Cricetulus griseus: one gene and its partners. The protein of the gene in region 2 interacts with the protein of the main gene of each other region in a biochemical or structural test. Links are inferred from orthologs where the notes say so. Each region holds a gene or a part of one and is shown on either strand. Other genes may lie near its edges. The genes, in order: Hipk2, Siah1 and Pou2af1.

Evidence for each region.
Region 1: of the proteins of Siah1 (region 2) and Hipk2, one has a biochemical effect on the other in vitro, tested with the Homo sapiens proteins (4 studies listed by BioGRID, with this or other methods). The link is inferred for Cricetulus griseus from reciprocal best matches to the Homo sapiens genes SIAH1 and HIPK2.
Region 3: the proteins of Siah1 (region 2) and Pou2af1 form a complex in vitro, tested with the Homo sapiens proteins (2 studies listed by BioGRID). The link is inferred for Cricetulus griseus from reciprocal best matches to the Homo sapiens genes SIAH1 and POU2AF1.

What each region holds. Positions count from the first base shown.
Region 1 is NW_023276806.1:189,351,000-189,357,399, forward strand, and holds part of Hipk2 (homeodomain-interacting protein kinase 2), read left to right. Parts: intron 1-2,139; coding exon 2,140-3,223; intron 3,224-6,400.
Region 2 is NC_048596.1:162,343,068-162,350,050, forward strand, and holds the start of Siah1 (E3 ubiquitin-protein ligase SIAH1), read right to left. Parts: upstream 3,725-6,983; 5' UTR 2,517-3,724; coding exon 2,318-2,516; intron 1-2,317. UniProt on the Homo sapiens protein: E3 ubiquitin-protein ligase that mediates ubiquitination and subsequent proteasomal degradation of target proteins.
Region 3 is NC_048597.1:162,975,434-162,982,593, reverse strand, and holds the start of Pou2af1 (POU domain class 2-associating factor 1), read right to left. Parts: upstream 4,351-7,160; coding exon 4,206-4,350; intron 770-4,205; coding exon 639-769; intron 234-638; coding exon 191-233; intron 105-190; coding exon 1-104. UniProt on the Homo sapiens protein: Transcriptional coactivator that specifically associates with either POU2F1/OCT1 or POU2F2/OCT2. It boosts the POU2F1/OCT1 mediated promoter activity and to a lesser extent, that of POU2F2/OCT2. It recognizes the POU domains of POU2F1/OCT1 and POU2F2/OCT2.

The DNA of each region.
Region 1 (6,400 bases), on a different chromosome or scaffold from region 2:
CCTGAGACTGACCTTGGAATTCTGGGCAAAGTAGGTGGGTATCTGCTGAACAGAGAGAGGATCAGGGGACAAGTGATGGGGTCAAGAGGGAGATGTCAAAGAAACACTCAGAGAGGAACTGAAGCTAGATGGTTTAGTGCCAGTGACGCTTGACAGACTCTCCACTTTCTAACCGCATTTGTAAGAAATGGTGGGGCTGGGAGCTGGCTCATCAGTATGACATGTAAGCACGGGGACTTGAGTTCCATCCTTAGCATTCACCTAGAAAGCCAGGTGGTTGTAACCCAAACTCTGGGGAGGTGGAGACAGGAAGATCTCTGAGGCTTGCTGGCCAGCCAGTCTAGTTGAATTGGTGAGGCACAGATTCACTGAGACTTGTCTCCCAAAATATGGTGCCTGAGGAAGACACCTGTTATCAACTTCTGGTGTCTGTACACACATGCGTGCACATTCAGACATGAGTGTTCATATAAACACACACATACTTGCACAAAATGGTTATCAGAGGCAGCTTAGAAAGTGATTGTTCTTGTACCTTTAAGGGTTTTACCTTTCCTATCACTGTAGTGTTTTTTCATATATATATATAAATTTTTAAATATATATATATTTAAAAAATTTTCCAATATCACCATAATTATAAATTGTATAGCTACTCCAGAAAGACCTTAAATAGTTCCAAGATTATCTAGGTTATAGATATGTCAGTCTGAAATCATAGTTCTTTCTTTCTCTCAACTTCCACTGTATATGTGTGTGTGTGTGTGTGTGTGCGCGCGTGCGTGCGTGCGTGTGTACAGGTACAAGTTGACATCTGTGCCTCCTTTAATATATAAACTTTACATATATATATGCATATATATATATATATATATATATATTGAGATGAGGTCTCTGAGTGAATCTGGAACTCACCAATTAGGCTAGACTGGCTGGCCAATAAACCCCAAAGAATCCAAATCCATGCCCAACTTCTCTCTCTCTCTCTCTCTCTCTCTCTCTCTCTCTCTGTGTGTGTCTGTCTGTCTGTCTGTCTGTCTGTCAATGCTAGAAATCATGTTCAGTCCTTTATGCTGTATTGTGAACACTTTATCTAGAGTGAGCTATCTCCCCAGGTCTAAAATATCAGGACTTTCTAGAAAAATTTATTAATGTATATGAATGGTGCTACTTGGCCCTGTCTGAAAAGTGATGCATGTTTTTAAGCCAGCTAAACACCAAATTATCTATCTGCAGCCCTATAGAATTCAAGAAGACCAGGAGGCCAGGTGGTAGGGAGTATGTCTCATTCAGAACACAGAATATCATGAGAATCCCTGTGATGAGATTTGTGTGGGAACATGGTTCTTAAGAGTAGTAAACCTGGTTATTAGGTTCTATTGAGAAGGCTAAGCTCACTACACAGAGGAGCTAAGTTTGTAATACTTACAAATGTAATACTTACCTGGGTACTTGATAGAGTCTCCAGATTTAGCAAGATACAACCTGAATAGGAATGAAGAATTGGTTTCTGTTACAGGTATAGTTCCAAGAAATAAATGATAGACTAAGTCCCAGTTCTGACTCTCAACTCTATTCCTGAGTTTCCTACCCTCCTAAGGCTGGTAGGTCTAATGGCAGAACATGGGAACCATTAGTCTCTCAAACAAGGAGTCCAGAATGTGCTTCTGAGTGGAATTGACTTGCTTTCTCAAGATGCTGTATTTTTAAGTCATTATGCATGCATGTGTGTGCATGTGTGTGCACATGAAGACCAAGAAACGTGTGGAGACCACAGGACAACACTAGGTGTTAGGCCTTACTTTTGGCCTTGTTTGAGAGATGGTCTCCTGTTCATTGTTGCATATGCCAGATTAGCTAGCCTGTGAGCTTCTGGAAACTTTCCTGTCTATGTCACCTATCTTGGTGTGGGAGTTTTGGGGTCACAGGTACATGTGACTGTGCCCAGCTTTCATGAGTTCTGGGGATCTGAATTCCAGTGCTTATACTTCAGAGCAGTACTTTACCCACTAGTCCATCTCCCTGGTCCTCAAGCTTTTGAAGGGGAAGGACAATCTGGCCAGAGCCTAAATGAATCAGTGGAGTTTATTCATGGAGGGGTAACTCAGATATTTATTTTTCCCTTTCCTTTCCGCATAGGCATGGCCTCACATGTGCAAGTTTTCTCCCCTCACACCCTTCAATCAAGTGCCTTCTGTAGTGTGAAGAAACTTAAAGTAGAGCCAAGTTCCAACTGGGACATGACTGGGTACGGCTCCCACAGCAAAGTGTACAGCCAGAGCAAGAACATAGCACCTTCTCAGCCAGCCTCCACAACCGTCAGCACCTCCTTGCCAGTCCCAAACCCAAGCCTACCTTACGAGCAGACCATCATCTTCCCAGGAAGTACTGGACACATAGTTGTAACATCAGCAAGTAGCGCTTCTGTCGCCGGGCAAGTCCTTGGCGGACCACACAACCTAATGCGTCGAAGCACTGTGAGCCTCCTTGACACCTACCAAAAATGTGGACTCAAGCGAAAGAGTGAGGAGATTGAGAACACTAGCAGTGTGCAGATCATTGAAGAGCATCCACCCATGATTCAGAATAATGCCAGCGGGGCCACTGTAGCCACTGCCACCACATCCACCGCCACCTCCAAAAACAGCGGCTCCAACAGCGAAGGTGACTATCAGCTGGTGCAGCATGAAGTACTGTGCTCCATGACCAACACCTATGAGGTTTTAGAGTTTTTGGGCAGAGGGACATTTGGGCAAGTGGTCAAGTGCTGGAAACGGGGCACCAATGAAATTGTAGCCATTAAGATCCTAAAGAACCACCCTTCCTATGCCCGGCAAGGTCAGATTGAAGTGAGCATCCTAGCCCGGCTGAGCACAGAGAGTGCTGACGACTACAACTTTGTTCGGGCCTATGAATGCTTCCAACACAAGAATCACACATGCTTAGTCTTTGAGATGTTGGAGCAGAACCTCTATGACTTTCTGAAACAGAACAAGTTTAGCCCCTTGCCCCTCAAATACATTCGCCCAGTCCTCCAGCAGGTAGCTACAGCCCTGATGAAACTAAAAAGCCTGGGTCTTATCCATGCTGACCTCAAACCAGAAAACATCATGCTGGTAGATCCATCCAGACAGCCATACCGAGTGAAGGTCATTGACTTTGGTTCAGCCAGTCACGTGTCCAAAGCCGTCTGCTCTACCTACTTGCAATCTAGATACTACAGGTAAGACTTTTTCCATGGAGATGGTCATAGGGTGCAGGAGGTCCAGTGGCATCCCCAGGGATGTAGAGAGTCACTTTGGGGAAGATACCAACATAGCTAGTGGTTGCCGCCAGAAAGAGATCTTAATACGGAGGCTGGAGAGATGGCGTAGTGGCTAAGAGCACTTGCTGCTCATACACAGGACTTTAGTTTGGTTCCCAGCACCCACGTGGCAGCTCACAACTATCAGTAAATCTAGTTCCAGGGGATCCATCACCCTCTTACGGACTTCAGACATTTATATGATATACATACATGCATTCAGGCTATTATGCACAAAAATAAATGTGAGAGACCTTAATGTAGTTGAAAAATTAGAATACATGCAGATGGGAATGACAATGAGAAGCCAGCTAAGGAGCCATCCAAGTAACATTCTTGGTCTGGTATTGGAGTTGAAAAGGATTGTGGGAGCCAGATGGAGAGCATAGTGGAGAAGTCAGGTTCTTTGGGATGGAGAGAATCCAGATAGCTAGAACAGGAAGGATGTGCCAATAATAGACACAGGGTAGCAAAATATAAGACTAGTTTAGGAGATGAGGATGAACTGCCTGGCCAGATCAGAGGATTTGTGAGTAATGCATGGAACAAGTTCTGGAAACTTCGAATGAGCAAGGCTTTGTGGGGGAGGGGAGTGGTATTGGGGGAGGGTGCAATAGGTTGATAGCAGTGTTCTAAGAAGACTATTATGCTCCTGTGGCAAAGGCTGGAGGAAGGGAAGAGCTTTGTCCTGGGGCCAGTTGCTGCCTCCTGTGTTACGTTTATGTCAGGAAACATCTACGCGGAAACATTATAAGGAAATACCTAAGACTGTATAATTTTGTAAAGGAAAAAGGTTTATTTAGCTCAAGTTCTGAAAGTTCAAGGTCATGATGCCATCAACAGCCTTATAGTCGATGGCCTCACAGTGGTGGGAGCGTGCATGGGAGTAAGAGACTCAGGTGAGCTTCAAGCTTTTAAGACAACTTTTACTGAAGAGAACTAACTCAGGGGTTTATAACCTTAATTCCTGCCAAGGACGCACTGATCAGGAGCTTCCACTGGACTGGACCACCTCCCACCATCACTATACTGAGGACCATTCTTTGAACTGATGACCCTTGGTGGGGGGGGCGGGGACGACAAACTACACTCTAGCAAGAAAACTTGCACATTCAGACAGCACACAAGTGTTTGTCTCATTTCTGATGTGGGCCTTGCACAATGCTAGCTGGCTCCAAGGTTGTAAATTGGGCTCTGGACCCCCAGGAGTCCCCAGAAGGCTTTGGCATCACTGGAACCCAGAACTGGGTTGATCCCTACACTCGTTAGCTGTGTGATTTGTGCTCACTGCCTAACTTCTATATATTCTCATTTCCTGACCTATGACTGGAAGCGGGGGCAAGGGGGAACTTTATACCAGTTCTAGGGTGCTGTTGAACCATCACATGTTGTGATATAGCCTGGTGCTGTGTGCTATGTGGGAGACACAGGGCCAGAAGTGGTAGAAATGGAGAGGGGGTTTCAGGGTTGTGGAATGGCAAAGGGCCGTGCTGGAAGTAGTAGTGACCAGTCCCACGGCAGAAAGTGGAAAGAAAAGAAACTCAAAATTCCCATGAAAAAGTAGGAGAATCCCAGGACTTCCTGTCCCACACCCTGATGGAGGATATGCTTTCCCACGCCTTCTTCAAGGACCTAGTGGGAAGACTGGGCAGACTTGAGCTGTGCTAACACCGCTGGCCTACGACCTCTTCTGAGAGCTGACTGCCAGCCTGTCTGCTTGGTCTCCCCTGCCTTGACTTGCTCCTCTTCCTGAGCCCAGTCACTGCTTGCAGCACTGTTGCGTGTCTCCTCCTGTTCTGTCTGTGCTCTCCCACCCTCGGCCCTCAGTCATTCCTTCCTTTCTGCCTTGTTGTGTTTTAATCTGACTCAGAGCGCGGGTCTCGAGTCTTCTCCATTCCTCTTAAGAGGGATTCCTGAGTTCAGATTCCTAGCTCTGGAATCTGAGATGGGACAGTGATGGCTTTCTCTCTGAATTCAGACATACATACTGCCCTCTGCTCTTAAGAGGAGTTCTCACAGGCTTCTACATACTTGTGAGGATAAATCTACCCCTGCTCGATTTCTTTCCCCCATTCAGCCTGGGGGAGCCATGGGCCCACTGCTGGGGCCACCCAGGAAGGTGGAGGCTGGACAGTGGGAAACTACCTTCCTTGGTAAAGAAGGAGGCCAAAAGCCAGTGCTCTCTTGAGAGTGCCTGGCCCTTCCTGGAAAGCCAACTCAGGATGGTTCCATACAGGGAACCTCTTGCCCCAGGGGTGGCTATTGCTGGAGTGCTCTCTAGTTACTGTAAAATGGAGGCTGCTGCCGCCGCTTTGTATTTAAACTTAATGAATTCAGGGTGCCAAAGGCTATTTTTTTCCCAGTTCTTGGCCTGAAGATAGGGAACACTGTGCCAAGTCAAGGGCTGTGTGAAGTTTTATTACTTAGTTAACCTGTATTGCTTTTAGTGAACAGAATCCAGCTTCACTGAAGTTTGCTAAAAATTAAGCATGGAGACTAACTATATTTAATAAGCAATGCATCCTTGTAGCAAAATGTGACTCAAGTTACATTTGGGATTCTGAAACCTTTTCTGTATTGTTGCCCTCTTGTGCCAGCCACTGTCACTCAGCCCACTATCTGCCTCTCAGAAAGGACGTTCTGAGCTAGGATGGCTGTAACATTTCCATGGGAACTGGGGCAGGACTAAATCCTCTACTTGAACTTCATATCCCTCCTCACCAACTTTGAGGCCTAATCAGCCATTTGAGCACCTCATGGGGTGATAAAGCCTGCTTGCTTATTGTCAGGCACTTAGGAGCTCTCGACTGTCATTCCTCAACAGGCACAGTCACCTCTGCTTCCTGCATCCTTACTTCTTTCTGAGATACCTTCTTCCTGGGTGTCTTTCCTTAGGCTTTAAGTGACTAGTATCTAGTACGAGGCAGAATGGTTTCCCTCTCCCCCAGGGTCTCCATGGTCTTGTGTCCTCAAAGGCCAGCTAGCTAGGCAACCTTCAATTAGGGTCAGGGGCACACGGTTCTGGAATGATGCTTGATTTCCAAACTAGTCATGATACTCTACCCACCACAGGCCTCATCTGGGTCCTGGCATGGC
Region 2 (6,983 bases):
AGGCAGGTGGATCTCTGTGAGTTCAAGGCCAGCCTGGTCTACAGCTCAAGTTCCAGGACAGCCTCCAAAGCTACAGAGAAACCCTGTCTCAAAAAACAAACAAAAAGAATGTAAATATAGCCATGCCTTTAAGCCCAACACTCAGGAGGCAGAAGGAGTTAGATTTCTGAGTTTGAGGTCAGTCTGGTCTATAAAGCAAGTTCCCAGACAACCAGGGCTACACAGAGAAGTCCTATAAAAAAAAAAAAAAAAAAAAAAAATGTAAGGCTGGAGAGATGGTCCAGCAGTTAAGAACACTGCTGAGAGGACCAGGGTTCAAATCCTAGTACCCAAATGCAGGTTCAAGAGAGGCCTCCAGGGAACTACATACATGTGGTGCACAGACACATGCAGGCAAAACACCCATACACATAAAATGAAAATATTTTTTTTTAAAGAAGACCTTAAATACAACATAAGACCTATTTGGGCTGGACTTTTTCTCCCCAGAGTTCCCACCTCTGTCTACTTCTCAAGTCTGAGTTAACTCTCACAGCTTCAGGACCTACAGCCCGAGTCCTATGTAGTCCATATGCCAAAGGATATCAGAGCCAGACTGATTCTTTCCAGCAGGGAGCAGCATCTTCTGGAGAGCTGTGTTCTGGGAATGGGGCTCGGAGGGCCCAGGGAAAGGAAGAGTTGGCATCCCACTATCCACCTGCAGCTACCTACCTACTGGGTCTTCTTTCAAATCAGCGAGACATCATTTTGTCTCCTGTCAATCAGTACCCACCTCCAGGCTGAAGCAACAGGAAGAAGTGGAAAACCATCGTTCAGTAAGTTATTGTATTTAAGGAAGTCCTTATTCTACCTTTTTAAAATGGACACGGTTGTATTCTAAAAAAACTTTACTTATAAAAAAAGAAGAAAGTCCTTATTCTACTTCCATTCTGCAGCACAAATCTCATGTAACATGCAAAGGGAAGGGAAAGTCAGGAAACAATAGGAGGAAGTAAGGGTAAAAGCATCACACAGACACAAACACAGGATGGGGAGAGGGGCAGACTCAATAAGCAAAGAACTCCCCTGCACCCTTGGGTTCCCTGTGTGGCTGCAGCAAACACCAACTATACACACTGATTTCAGAGTCATCTGGAGGAAGGACCAGCCAGTGACAGTCAAGCACAATAAGCTCCTTTCCCCAGGACTCTGCCTCTGGGGAATTTGGCAGGGTGCAATTTATCTCAGACGTTGACAAAAGATCAATGTCCTAATAGTGCACTCCCTGAGACCACACTAAATAATATAGTAATTCTCCCAGTTATAATCACTCTGTTGCAAAGACCTTTAAGTTTCAAAAAAACTGAAGTTACAAATGTAACCAAGTCAATACAAATGGAATTTTAGTAGACAGTAACATTGTAAATAAGGGGGCTAAGAGCAGCACTGGAGGTTTAATTTTTTTTCTTTTGTTACTAAAGCAATACTAGCAAGTTCAAAGGGCAAAACAGTACTAACAAATGTTTAGCTTGCCTATATCCCTTGGTTTCATCTCCAACACATACAGTATGACAAAACTCCACCACAACAGCTCAGACTCATGGAGGAATACAACATGAATTAGCTCTCATCATCTGAAGCCCTGTGATCCAGGTGTCATAATAAAATGGCCCCTCTGTATTCTACTTTCCACCTGATCAAATTCTTTATGCAGCTGATTTATCCACTTTAGGTCAATGGCCTTGGCATTACCAAAGCCATGGGTTTCCCATCTGCTTCACCATGTTAACTGTGGCTCACTTAAAAGAACACAGATTTTGGAAAGTGATTTCTCGAAACAAACAGTTCCGGTCACATCAAAGAGCTCAGTTTATATTTAAACACAATATAGCCAAGTTCAGAAGAAAAACACTAGCCCAGTGCTTTGACCTGGCAAAACACCTCTAACACTTATCAGTGTAAGTTTGGGTTCATGTTACATCGTATTTTTATTGCCTTCCAAACACTAGAGAAAGCACACTGATATTCTACCCAGCATGATAAACAAAATGTGGTTGGAAGTATGACAGCACAGATAACTGCTACACCATTCCCTAGTTAGAAGGATGGAGTGTGGCTCCATCTTGAGCCACAAAGCCTCTCATCCACAAGCAGCTGCAAGGTAGAAACCAAGGACAAGTCCACAGAAGTCTGGACACACCTGAAAAGCTAGATTTAAGCAGGAGTTGCCACAGCTCCACTGAGCCCTCAATGCCGACTTTCACCAAGCCTAAACCAGAATCTATGGATTCGTGCAGTCCAGTTTCTGTCTCGGAAACAGATGTGTTTACGTCAGTACCTTTCCTCTTCCTGGTCCTGGTCCTAACTGTCGGCAAGCATGCGAGCAGGACTCCCTTCCAGGAATGCAGAAGGGGTTCGGGCGGCTTCCAGGTCATAAGAATCGAGGCGTCAGGTTCCTGCAAGCCACAAGGCCAGCCTGCACCAGAGGACCCTGCAAGGCCCTTGGCTCCTAAGCATAGAAGGCTGCTCACTTCCATTCAGTCTTAAGACCTGTCCCCAGGAGAGACAACACCTCCCATGAACTCTAAACTGGGTGGTCAGCAGAAGATGGCCAGCAGCTCTGGCGTCCTGCTGCTTAGGCTCCACCACCTGGCAGGCCCTGGGGCAGGGCCTCGAGAAGGGGCGGACCTCGCTCCAAGCCCCGCCCCACAGACCACCTGGACAGCTCTGGCAGACGCCACGGCAACATGAAGCCTGTGCACTTGGCAGCACTTAAGTCCCGTAGAACATGTTTCCGGAGGTCAGGATCTCAGTGCTTTCCTAAGTCTCTAGGGTAAGAAACACACAGGGAGGAAGGGAAATGCGCAACCAGGCAAGCACTCCTAATGTCAGCTTTGTCCTGTGAATTCTCAAGAAAAACATTCCCCCCCACAACTCACTCAATATTTCCAGGCCTCAACTACTATTTTCCTCAATTCTAACTCTGCCGCTTGTGTGCCAATCTATTTCAAATGCCCCCTTCCAGTGCAGTGAGAATGTAAACACACTCAGGGCATGTAAACCTCCACTTCTACCTCCAAATTGAGGTTATATATTCATCCCACTCTGGGAAAGTTTTCTTAACTGGCCTCATTAAACTAGAGTAGCTTGCCTTGTTTTTAAACAAGCACTACCCTTGGCCCATAAAGTCCTATACACTTCAGACCTGGATGGTGTCAGCTGAATCTTCAAAGCTTAAGCTGGTATTACATCACACTTAGGACAATCTTCAAATACAACCAGAAACTGGCAGTGAGTGCCCCAATACAATGGGTTTCACACACCTTCTGCAACTTCAACTCCAACCACTTGCCCACCTTTATTGTATTCAATCACTTCCACCTAACTGTTTAATACTAGACTACAACAAACAGCTTTAAGAACAGAAATATAAACTACACATTCTAAATTGCACATCAAGCCTATTTTGGCATTAAGTTTAAATAGCTATTATCTAAAAGGAAATAAATAGTATTAATGCCTTTAATTTTGTCACAACATTTTTAGGGCATTTAGCCACATTTTGTTGTTGTTCTTTTGGGAGAATTTTTGTTTGTGGAGGCAGGACTCACTCAATCATCCTAGACTACCACTGATTTCTAAGAGTCTGAAAATGACTTTGAACTTCTGATAATCCAGCTTTCACCAACTTCCAGTGAGTACTGGGACTGCTCACCACCACACCTAGTTTTGTGTGGTGCCACACCTTTGGAAAAACTAAGCAAGCACTCCACCAACTGAGCTATGTCCCCAGCTCATATACATTTGTTAATGTGCATGGGTGTTTTGCCTGCATGTGTATATATACACCACCTGCATGCATGATGCCAGCAGAGGCCAGTAGAGGGCATAGGATATCCTGGAACTGGAGTTTGGACAGTTATGAGCCATTATTTAGGTACTGAAAAACATCCAAAAGAGTAGCAAGTGCTCTTATCTGTTGAGCCATCTCTCTAAGTCTTGCACTCTTTATTTAAAGAAAATAAAAAGGTAGAATACCAAGACTGCTCACCCCTTAATTTCCCTAAAATTCTTAGAAATTACATGTTTATTATAAAGTTACAATGCTAAGGGTTATAGATGAGTGATGTGAGGTCTAAACCCCGAAGACACGTAGTTAACTGAGGTGCTTATTTAACATACAAATTGGACTTGGCTGCCAGGTTTTCCCTGCATCCCTCAGTCCCTACCTGTTACAGGGTATGGCTGGCACACCCCACCTCCTACCCTACATTTCTCCAGCCCAGGGGCTGAGCTGCCCTTCCCTATATAATCCAGCCTTTTTGGTTACATGCACACCCTCACTGTCTATCCTGTACTCTCCTGGCTCTCCTCCCCCCCTTTCCTCTCTCCTAACATGACCTGGCTCAGGGTCATGTTCACTCTGGACTCTCCTAGATATCCCTGCCTCTGGCTATGCTCTCCCTTTTATCTATAATAAACCTCCCCTCCACCATACCTAGGAGCAGTCATATCCTTCCTTTTTAATTTCATTTTTTTTTCATTCATCCGGTACCCACAGCCGGGAATGGCATAGATGAGCTCCCTTCCAAGTACCTGGGCTGCTCTGAATCAAGCTGCTGATTTGCCTCTCCTAAGGTTTGTAGAGATCACTTGTTTCCAATAACTCCTGTCATCTATCAAATTTGACCCCAAATTCTAGAGTCCGCTGTCTCACTACTTCTCCCCCAACGCCCACATGCTCTAACCACGCCTGTCCTTGTCTATGCCATGAATGTATCTCTGACTCCTAGGGCCTTCTCCATCTCCCAAGGAACCCAGCCACCTGGACACTGGCCTCACATCGCAGCTCCACCGGCTACATCTGTCTGGATCTCTACCAAGGACACTTACCGTCTCCCTTTTCCCCTGCTCGCCCATCTCTCTTTACTGGGTAAGTGTCACCTCAAGCTGCCTCCTTTGTCTACTATTACTACAAAAGCCACACCAGGGTGACAGGAAGCTCCTCTCGCCCTATTTAGGCCCCAGTCACATGGGAAGGACACCTTTCCTCTGGGATTTGGAACACTTTTCTCCCTGACAAGTTTCCCATTCCCCTTGAGGACACCCTGGATGGAAATTCTTGTCACAAAGGCTCTTTATCCACCTCAGTTCAGTTGCATTCTCTCCCCTCCCCCTAGGCCCTGTAGTCCATCCTGCAGGCCACCACTCTCTCAGGTCCTGCTGTAGTACCTAGTTTTTTCTTTCAGCTCCCTCCTAAAGTCTCCTTGACCCTCTGCAGCTTCCTGCTCTGTCTCTTCCTTAAGCCCTCCCAGGCCTCTCCCAGCAACTCGGAAGCTTCTCTAAGCCTGAGCCCACCTGGGCCTCTATACACTCTCACTCAGCAACTTTTGGGAGTTTATAGAAAAGTCCTCTGAGGGTGGAGTTTCATTTCTCAACATCCGGACTATAAACAACTTGGCCTCAGTACCAATGGCCAAACATTGGCACACTTGATTTCCAAATCCTCACAAATCGTAACAACTGTCACAGCATAAACAAATGATCCCCAAATCTCTCTTATCTAAACTAGCTCTGCTCTACACTTCTACTTCCTACTCTTAAAAATCTTTAGCTCTACAATTTCTCCTTGCTCTGCTATCAAAGTCTCTTAAGACTATGCTGTAAATTCTCTCAGGATTTGTAAGTTCATTGGGTATGGTTAAAAATGATCTATAAATCTGTAACAAAACTTGGCTTTAAACTTATAACAAAAGGCTTATAATTAAAATCTACACATAGGCAATCTTAATAATTTGCTACAAGTTACTATACATGTGATTCAACTCTTGTTTAGAACATACTGCATATGTACTTAGATTCAACTCTTTTTTGTTTGTTTTTTCAAGACAGGGTTCTCTGTGTAGCCTTGACTTCTGCTTCCTGAGTACTGGGAGTAAAGGTGTGCACCATCACGGCCCAGTTGGATTCAACTCTTGAATAAAAAATAAAAAGTGATCTACAAAAAAAATAAACCTTTAAATAACAGCTCCATGGCTGGCAGCCATCTTTACTAGGGTTAAAAGGTATATGCCAAGGGACTTAACCACCATCTTATGATGACCATATAAAATAAGCCAATTAAGGCAACACCTATACTTCTTTTTAGTCCTACTGAGCCCTCTGTTTCCCCTTTTAGACTAATGAAACAACAACAGGGGTCTCCAAAATATTTTGGATTGGTATGGATTATGATGATAAAATTTTAAGGTTATTACAGGTCTACTTGGATGAACAAAGCTGACTTAGAGATTTACAGCTAACTACTTATGTCTCTTTGCTAACTGTTCAACTCCAGGCTTCTAGAAAACTAAGATAACAACATGTGTTTGACAAATAAGGTATATTTGATAAGGTCTATAAATTCCTAAGGTCTACTCAGGGTCAGAGTAATAGCCATCTAGCTTCATTGTCTCTGCTCACTTTATTAAGCTTTTCTTAAGCTTTAGCTATCTGGATTAACCGAGTCATGCAAAAAATTGATATAATGGTGCCCTATAAAAGAAAAGTTCCCAGTCTTCCTATGGACTATATGTATGGCTTAAAGCTTTATTTTGATGCTGCCAGGGACACTTGTGGGTTAACTGCTATACTCTGCCTGGTCAAGTCCCCCAAGTCCTTTCCACAGGAACATCTCTCAGACCTGGGTCTGGCCAAGGCTGCTCTGTGTGGCAACTAAAGATTAAATGCTGTCCTATTTGAACACTGCCTCAAATGAAGACAGAGCCCACAGGAGCCTAGGGCAACCATCTAGGTAATGGCTTCAGGGAATCAACTTGAATCACCTCTTGCAGGCCAGACTCAAGTACTCATAAATTTTCCCCACCTGCCCTATTCCTGAGATTGGGATCTCCTTCCTTCCTTCCTTCCTTCCTTCCTTCCTTCCTTCCTTCCTTCCTTCCTTCCTCCCTCCCTCCCTCCCTCCCTCCTTTTCCTTTCCTTTCCTTTCCTTTCTTCCTCCCTCT
Region 3 (7,160 bases), on a different chromosome or scaffold from region 2:
GGGCTGAAAGGTGGCTGGGGCAGGCTGGGAAAGCCAGCCAGCACACAATGTCCCCTCCTCTGTTACTGTGGAAGCAGAAACATCCATGTCAAGGCAGGAAGGACCTGTAGGGAAAAATGAAATTACAAAATGGCAGACTCTACCAGAGATGGTCCCCAAAGACACCAAGGCTGCAGAGAAGAGCTCTTACCCACTGTGCTGTAGGTTGCCAGGGGCTGGTGGGGCAGCACCACCTAGAAAGGGGATGAGAAGACCAGAATTGGTGTTTATCTATCTATAGCAAGCTCTCTGCAGGTGTGCCCAGGGGCCCAGGGTAGGAAAATGATAGGGGGAAATCTCCTGCCGCATACCTCAACCACCACCACCAGCATTTTTTTTTGAGGGATTTATGTTTCGATTTAGTAAGAAAGCTGTACAATTAGAGAAACTTTCTGAATCCCCAACTCATACCACGGTGTGAACCATTGGCTCCCTCAAGCCTCATCAATAGATATTTCCCACTTATGAATAAAAGCAAGAAACCCTACTATTCCCCTTACCACCCTGACAAGTGGAACTGCACACACACACACACACACACACACACACACACACACACACACACACTGCAGACACACTGCCCCACAACAGCCCCTCACCGCAGTAGGTGGGCCAGCTGTCCCACTGTTGGCATGGCCACGCTTTCTTCTCAGTAGCTCCTTCACTGGCTCCTTGACTCGAACACCCTGGTATGGCCGTGGTGGTGCAGGGGCTTGCTCTGGGGCTGTGGCTGTAAAGAGGAATGTCACTGGTCCCCTGACCTTTCACAGATGACCCCAACCACAAGTGCCCATTTTCTCTGGTGCCCAACTCTCTAAGTTGTACTTAACACAGAGAATCTCTGTGAGGCTCCCTGGGGTATTTCTCCCAAGACTCCATCTGCCCCCAAACTTTCTGGGGCTCTACTATTTGTCTAAAAGTGACAGGGCTTCCCAATGGGATCAGAACACCATTTTTCTGTCCTCTTTGCATGATACATAAAGTAGCTCCCAAAGAAGGCCTGGTTACACTCGTCAGCATGTTCTTGTGTGTTTCACCTCCCTATCTTCATTGCTATATCTGATAGCCAGAATTCTTATTCTGGGGCTACCTCTCTGGCTCCTGCAGACCATGGAGTTCCTACATCCACCTCTCCAACATGTCTAGAGTTGATTGGCATTCATATAAGTGGTAGTGAAGGATGACAATCACACCAAGAAGCCTTAAGTCAGGTATAGCTGGATCCAAATCCCATCTCAGTCACAATCTAGCTATGAGATCCTATAAAGTAATTACATTTCTCTGAGCCTCTTAATCTGTAGATTCTTATCAGATGAGTGTTGGTCAGAGTAAATGAAAACGTGTATGTATCATAGAAAATCGGGTTCAGAGCAACCATTTAGCTAACAGGGTTTCATTTGTTTCCTTGTCTCTTTATTTTGTTGGTGCTGCGGATATAACCCAGAGCCTTAGACATGTTAGGCAAGTGTTCTACCACTGAGCTACACCCTGTACCTCTCAAATTCAATCAATCTATGGCCTGCTAGGTAATGATTAGTTTTTCTTGTTCATGTGAGCTTAAAATGCTTCCAATGAGATTATAAGCTTCTTGATCTATTGTGCCTTGTCTCTGCCTTCTCAAGTGGCAGACATGCCTAAGTTATCTATATCTTAGTCTTGGCTGAACGTTAACTAATCATCTGGGAGGTGCTTTCAAATGTACTTCCTTTTATCATCCTTTCAACTCTCCTGGACCTTTAGGGTTAATGGACTGAAAAAAAAAAGTGTCTGCCAGGTGCATGGTGATCCTCAGTACAAGAGACAAATACCCAGTGATGATTCATGTGACCTGGAGTGGAGTGTCCACCTTGCTACTGGGAAAATGTTTCTGTTCCCTTTTGTCAAAAAATCCAAGAATCTAAAGTATCAACAAAACCAGAGCCAAGGTATAGCATTTTCTCTTGCTGGGAGATCAGAAACAAACTACCTATACAGATGGAAAGGCCCATGGAGGGCAGGCCAAGAGCTAGGTCACCCAAGATCAAGAAGCAATGGTCTCTGGGACTCACATAAGGAACCCATTATCCTCCACTGATAAGGGGCCAGGGACCCAGGCTTTGTATCAAAGGCCCGGAAGCCTGGGTATCTGTTCAACCCGGATCCACAGGGCAGCCTGAACTGAACTTTGTTCAGTAAACACCCAGCTGATAGTGATAACAATGTGTGCCTCATGCTGCCCAAGATCTCCCATGGGATTCTTAGGCTCCCAGCACCAACATGATCTGGTCTTGAAGGACAGGAGGCAAAGAAGCCATGCAGAGCCAGCAAGCAAAGGGGAATGACCTTTGGAGGCAGACCGTTAGTGTCAGGACCCCAGCTCTCAGACTAGGTATCAGACCTATATATGCTATGGTGTCCTAACTGACCACAGTGCAAAATCTACTGGAAACTGATGTAAAATACAGATACCTGGGATCTTGCTCCCCAGAAATATGGTTTGGACAATCCACTTAAGTCAAAGAGTCTGGATATATAAAAATTATGTAGATATATAAATTATATAAAAATGCCTGAGGTCATCTTCAAACCTGACTCTGATACTTCATCCCTTAGTTAACACAAGAGCTGCTCCATAACATCCCAGTAAGAGATGATCCTCGTGTTAGTGTCCTCTGTGATAAAAGGGAATCCCTACTCCCATCCTCATTCTTCCAAAAAGTTTCTGGACACACGTGGATGTGGGCCCTGCACATGTGGGTTGTAAAGTATAGCAGAGGAAAGAAGCAATACAATACCTACCAGTGAGATGAATGTAACAAATGAGAGGTTTGGGCTGACGTAAGAGCGTAAGAACCAGCATAGTATTTTGTGCCCTGAAACCACCTTCATCATTGTTCAAAACAGCAATGACAACAGACTTAACAGCCAAAACTACCTGCGTTCAAATATGGGCTGTCACTTACTAGTAGAAAATCCGCAGATTTATGTAATGACTCTAGGCCTCAATTTCCTTATCTGTAAAATGGAGACATGTTTTTAACTTCTCAGTGACATGTTTTTAACCTCAAATCTTCCTTCAGAGTGCAGCACTCCTGCACCAGCAATGCTTGTGCACCCTGTCCACAGAATACTGTTGAGTGCTACACACAGACACAAGTGTGTATGGACTGCCATGAGCGACAGTAAGGCATCTCTGCCGCTGCTTCATGCTGCTGCTGCTCCCTTCTCAGGATCATTCATGACCACAACAGTTTTCTTCACAGACATGTCACTCAATCTCTGCCTACCTCTTCTTAGGTTTCCTTCCATTCCTCAGGCACAGAGCCTAACTTGAGATACTGTACTCTCAGAAAAAAATAATGAGGTTTTGGACCAAAGGAAGGAGATGGTCTAAGTACTATGGTCACACCCTGAATTCAGTTGGGGAACACTATGCATACGTCTCAGTCCAGATCACAGACAGGAATGTTACCCATGGACCTCTGATTTGCATGTACAATTCTGGGGAAGGGCCTAGAGGCCTCCAGGTCCCATTCCCTCTCTGGTGCTATTTCCTCTCTTGAACTGGTCTAGTACAGCTGGGACACTCCCACAGCTCTGTGTCCTTAGACAGCTGACAAGGAATCCTGTAACTGGCTCCCTGAGCAGGCAGAAGTGGGGTTGCTTCTGAGGTGTCTCTGCAAAGCGCCTTGAAATATGAGAAGCCAAAGCATCAAGATGTCTGCCCAGGAGGCTCAATAGACAAGAATATTTGCAAACTGACAACTTGCAGTTGGGGTCTTTCACACTAATCTACATTAAGTAACAATCAGCATAATTCCCCAGTAAACACTGTGACCTCAGCTGCTGCCAGCACCAGAATGGAGCCCACTATGGAAATTTGGAAGAAGAAAAGAAGTTTGTCCAAAGTCACCATTGCTTTAACTTGGGGCTGCTGAGTCCTTGAACTGACATAACTTTGCAATAACTGCACTGAAATAGTTCAGGACTTTTTAAACAAAATATTAACATAATGTAAAATAGCAGTTTTTAAAATAGTATGTGAAGAGAATAAAGTAGAAATGGAAATAATACTGTATCATCAGAGAAGAAGAGCATCCAGACTAGTGATAAATAGAGAGTTTAATAATTCTCGAATCAAACTGCAGCTCTGGGCAGCCTTCTAGTAAAGCTAGATGGTTCCTCACCCTTCCTCCTGCGATGTGAAGAGCCCTTGAGCGTCTGTAGGCCTGAAGAGTCCATCACAATGGAAAACCAGTCCATCTGAACATAACCTCTGGCAATCTCTTTGGACAGGAGTTCACCATACTGCCTTTCTTTACTATTGCCCATAAACTGCCAATGTATTCCAGGAAGAAAAAAAAAGTTTTAAAAGGCTAGTTGATAGCAAAACACACCCATTTGGTCACAGACATAAGAGAGAGCTTCCTTTTTCCAAAAAGAGCAGTAAAAGATCTAGAGGCATAAACAGTCGGCAGAGGGCATTTCACTTCCCCTGTCACACACCCAGACCTGCTGCAGGAATCCTGGGGCTGCCATTCCACCACAGCACAACAGTTTGAAACCAACAGGTTATATAGCTACCTGTATGCACAGTGGCATCAGTACTCAGGCTCCACCAGGCTGAGAGAACACAGGTTCCTTCTGAGTTAAATAAGCACTCGGGTTTTCTCAATGAAGGCATAATAAAATCTCACTAAGGAAATATGCAAACCCATCAGCACCTATTTATTTAATAACCCCATGCAAACCACAATACACATCCCACTCAACTAAAGAGCCAGGAGCCAGGTCCTAGTCATCAGTAACTTGTCTTTCAGAATAGCTTTAAAAGAGCCCATGTCCATCAGGTGTTTTCTGAGAGAAGAGCCTTGCCTCACACATTGAGATTTCCCATGGGTCCCCAGACAAGCAACAGACTGGATAACAGTTAAGAGCTCTACCCTAAAAACGGTGTAATATGCAGGTTAAACTGGGATTTACATCGTAGGGAGCCACAGAACAGGCATCCTCACAGCTCTAGGAGCCTTTCTGTCCCAGATTGACAGACTGCTCAAGGTTGAATTCATAACTAGTTGAACCTCAGGGGTCACTTTGAAAGATGAAAGCCACCTAGATGAGAAGGTCACATGACCCATACTATCACTTAAGACAGTTCTGGTATCAATCCCCACCCCATAACCACTTTGAATGTTTTCTTTCACTGCTGGTGTTCAATTTTATCCAAAAGAAAATAGAGCTCATTAAGGAGAAAGACAACTAACACTCTCTTTACTTGTAGCAAAACCAAAACAAATAATTGAACAATAGGACTTCAAGCCTAGGGCTAACGAACTTGTCCCAGCTTCTACTGAAAACAAAATCTGAAAACTTGCTGACACTTTAATGTGAAGAGTCTTGTTTGTCTTGGTGGCCTGAGATAGCTGAGGTCTTCTGGGAAACTTGAGCTCAGGTAGGCCACAGGCTTATTCACATTCTTTACGGAAATGCTGCTGCAGGTGCTCTTCTTAGAGTCAAGTTCTCAAGGTTTTCAAATTTACCATTTTCATTTATGGAGACTAGCTGATACTTTTTTCCAAACAGGAAGAAAGTTGTTCTTTGGCCAGAAGGACTTGACAGACTACAGAAAGATTTTCCTGTCCAATTTACACCAAATTGAATTATAGGTGTCCCACCCCATGACCTCAGGCAAAGCCAGCCACAGGTCTCTGGTGTGGAGTTCTCTATGTGATGAGGTTCCTTGACTCTTTACTCACAAATACCACCAGCCAGGATTCCTTTCCCCTGGTGCCCACTGTGCCTTCCACGCCACCTGTCTACCCTGTTTCCAAATCCACTGTGGAGTAGCAGGATGCAGAAAGCTGCAGCAGATATCTCTCTGTATGTATACCCATTTAATGATGAATGAATGGTGGCAATAGTCAATGTGTTTTCTGGTCATAATCTTAACTCCCAGAAATTGGGAAATCCTCACCTACAGTTTTGTGATGTTCTGTGGTGTAGTTCTCAGAGCCTCTGACACAAATGATATCATGGGAGGCTGCATCCCAACCTCTGAAATAAGCAAAAGATGAAATTTACTCTCCTTCCCTTCTTTTACTGATGTAGAGGGTGCTGCTCATTTGAACGCATTGAATTGTTCAAGGACAGCATTCATCAGTACCGGTGTCATCAACCAAATTCAAGATTTCTGATTCCAACATAGACCTTGTTTTTGCCTCACCATGCACCTTCTTCTTGCCTCTATATGCCCCATTTTTTCTTCTATGTGGTGTTGAAGGTTGGTCATCTAAAGGTCCCTGAGCCAATCCTAACCTTCCTTCCTCCAGTTGGAATATTGGCTTGGACCATGCGATCCTGTCTCTCTTGATGGCCAATTCTCTGAAAACAATGGTGGTTTCCAGGTGATAGAGGCCTCCACAAGAAACTTGCCAAAAGTCTACTCACAAGAGGAATGACAAGAACCGAGAGACTCAATTCCTGGCAAGGTTTTATTTTGGGTATTTTTCTACTGAAATGACAGCAAATAGGTCCACCTGAGAAACCAGCTGCATCTGTCTGCCTTTTATAGAAACTAAGGTCACCAGAGCAGAAAGGGTTCCTATCTCAGATACACCATGTCTGATTCAGGGCCAAGACCAAGAGACATCTGGTAGACCAGTTATCTAGCAAATACTTGTTGAGCAGATCAGACTAGGTCCCTGCCCTTGGGGAACTTGCAATCTATTCAGGTGGGATATGTAGACTTTACTGAACTAATCACACAAGCAAATCTAGAATTACAAAAATGTGATGAAGCTATATCTGCTTTAGAACTGCAGAGTTCTAACTTCTGCTTCCACCTGATTCAGTAACGCTTGAATGGGCAGCAAGCTGTCTCTAGAGGCTATATAAAGAGGGAAGAGGCAAGAGGCATGACAGGCAGTTCTCTCTTCGGTGTAGAGACTGACCCGGGGTCACTGGTTTGGACCATACCATGAGTATAAGTCTCAACCAAGACACTCAAAGTTACAGACCCTGGGTGGACACTCAGGATCTTTCACCAGCTGCTGTTTGTCCTTGGCTGATTAACCTATCAGAAGAACAGTCCCACTGACTCATTATAAGATGAAAGTCATCTAGATTCAGTCTCGAGTGTTAAT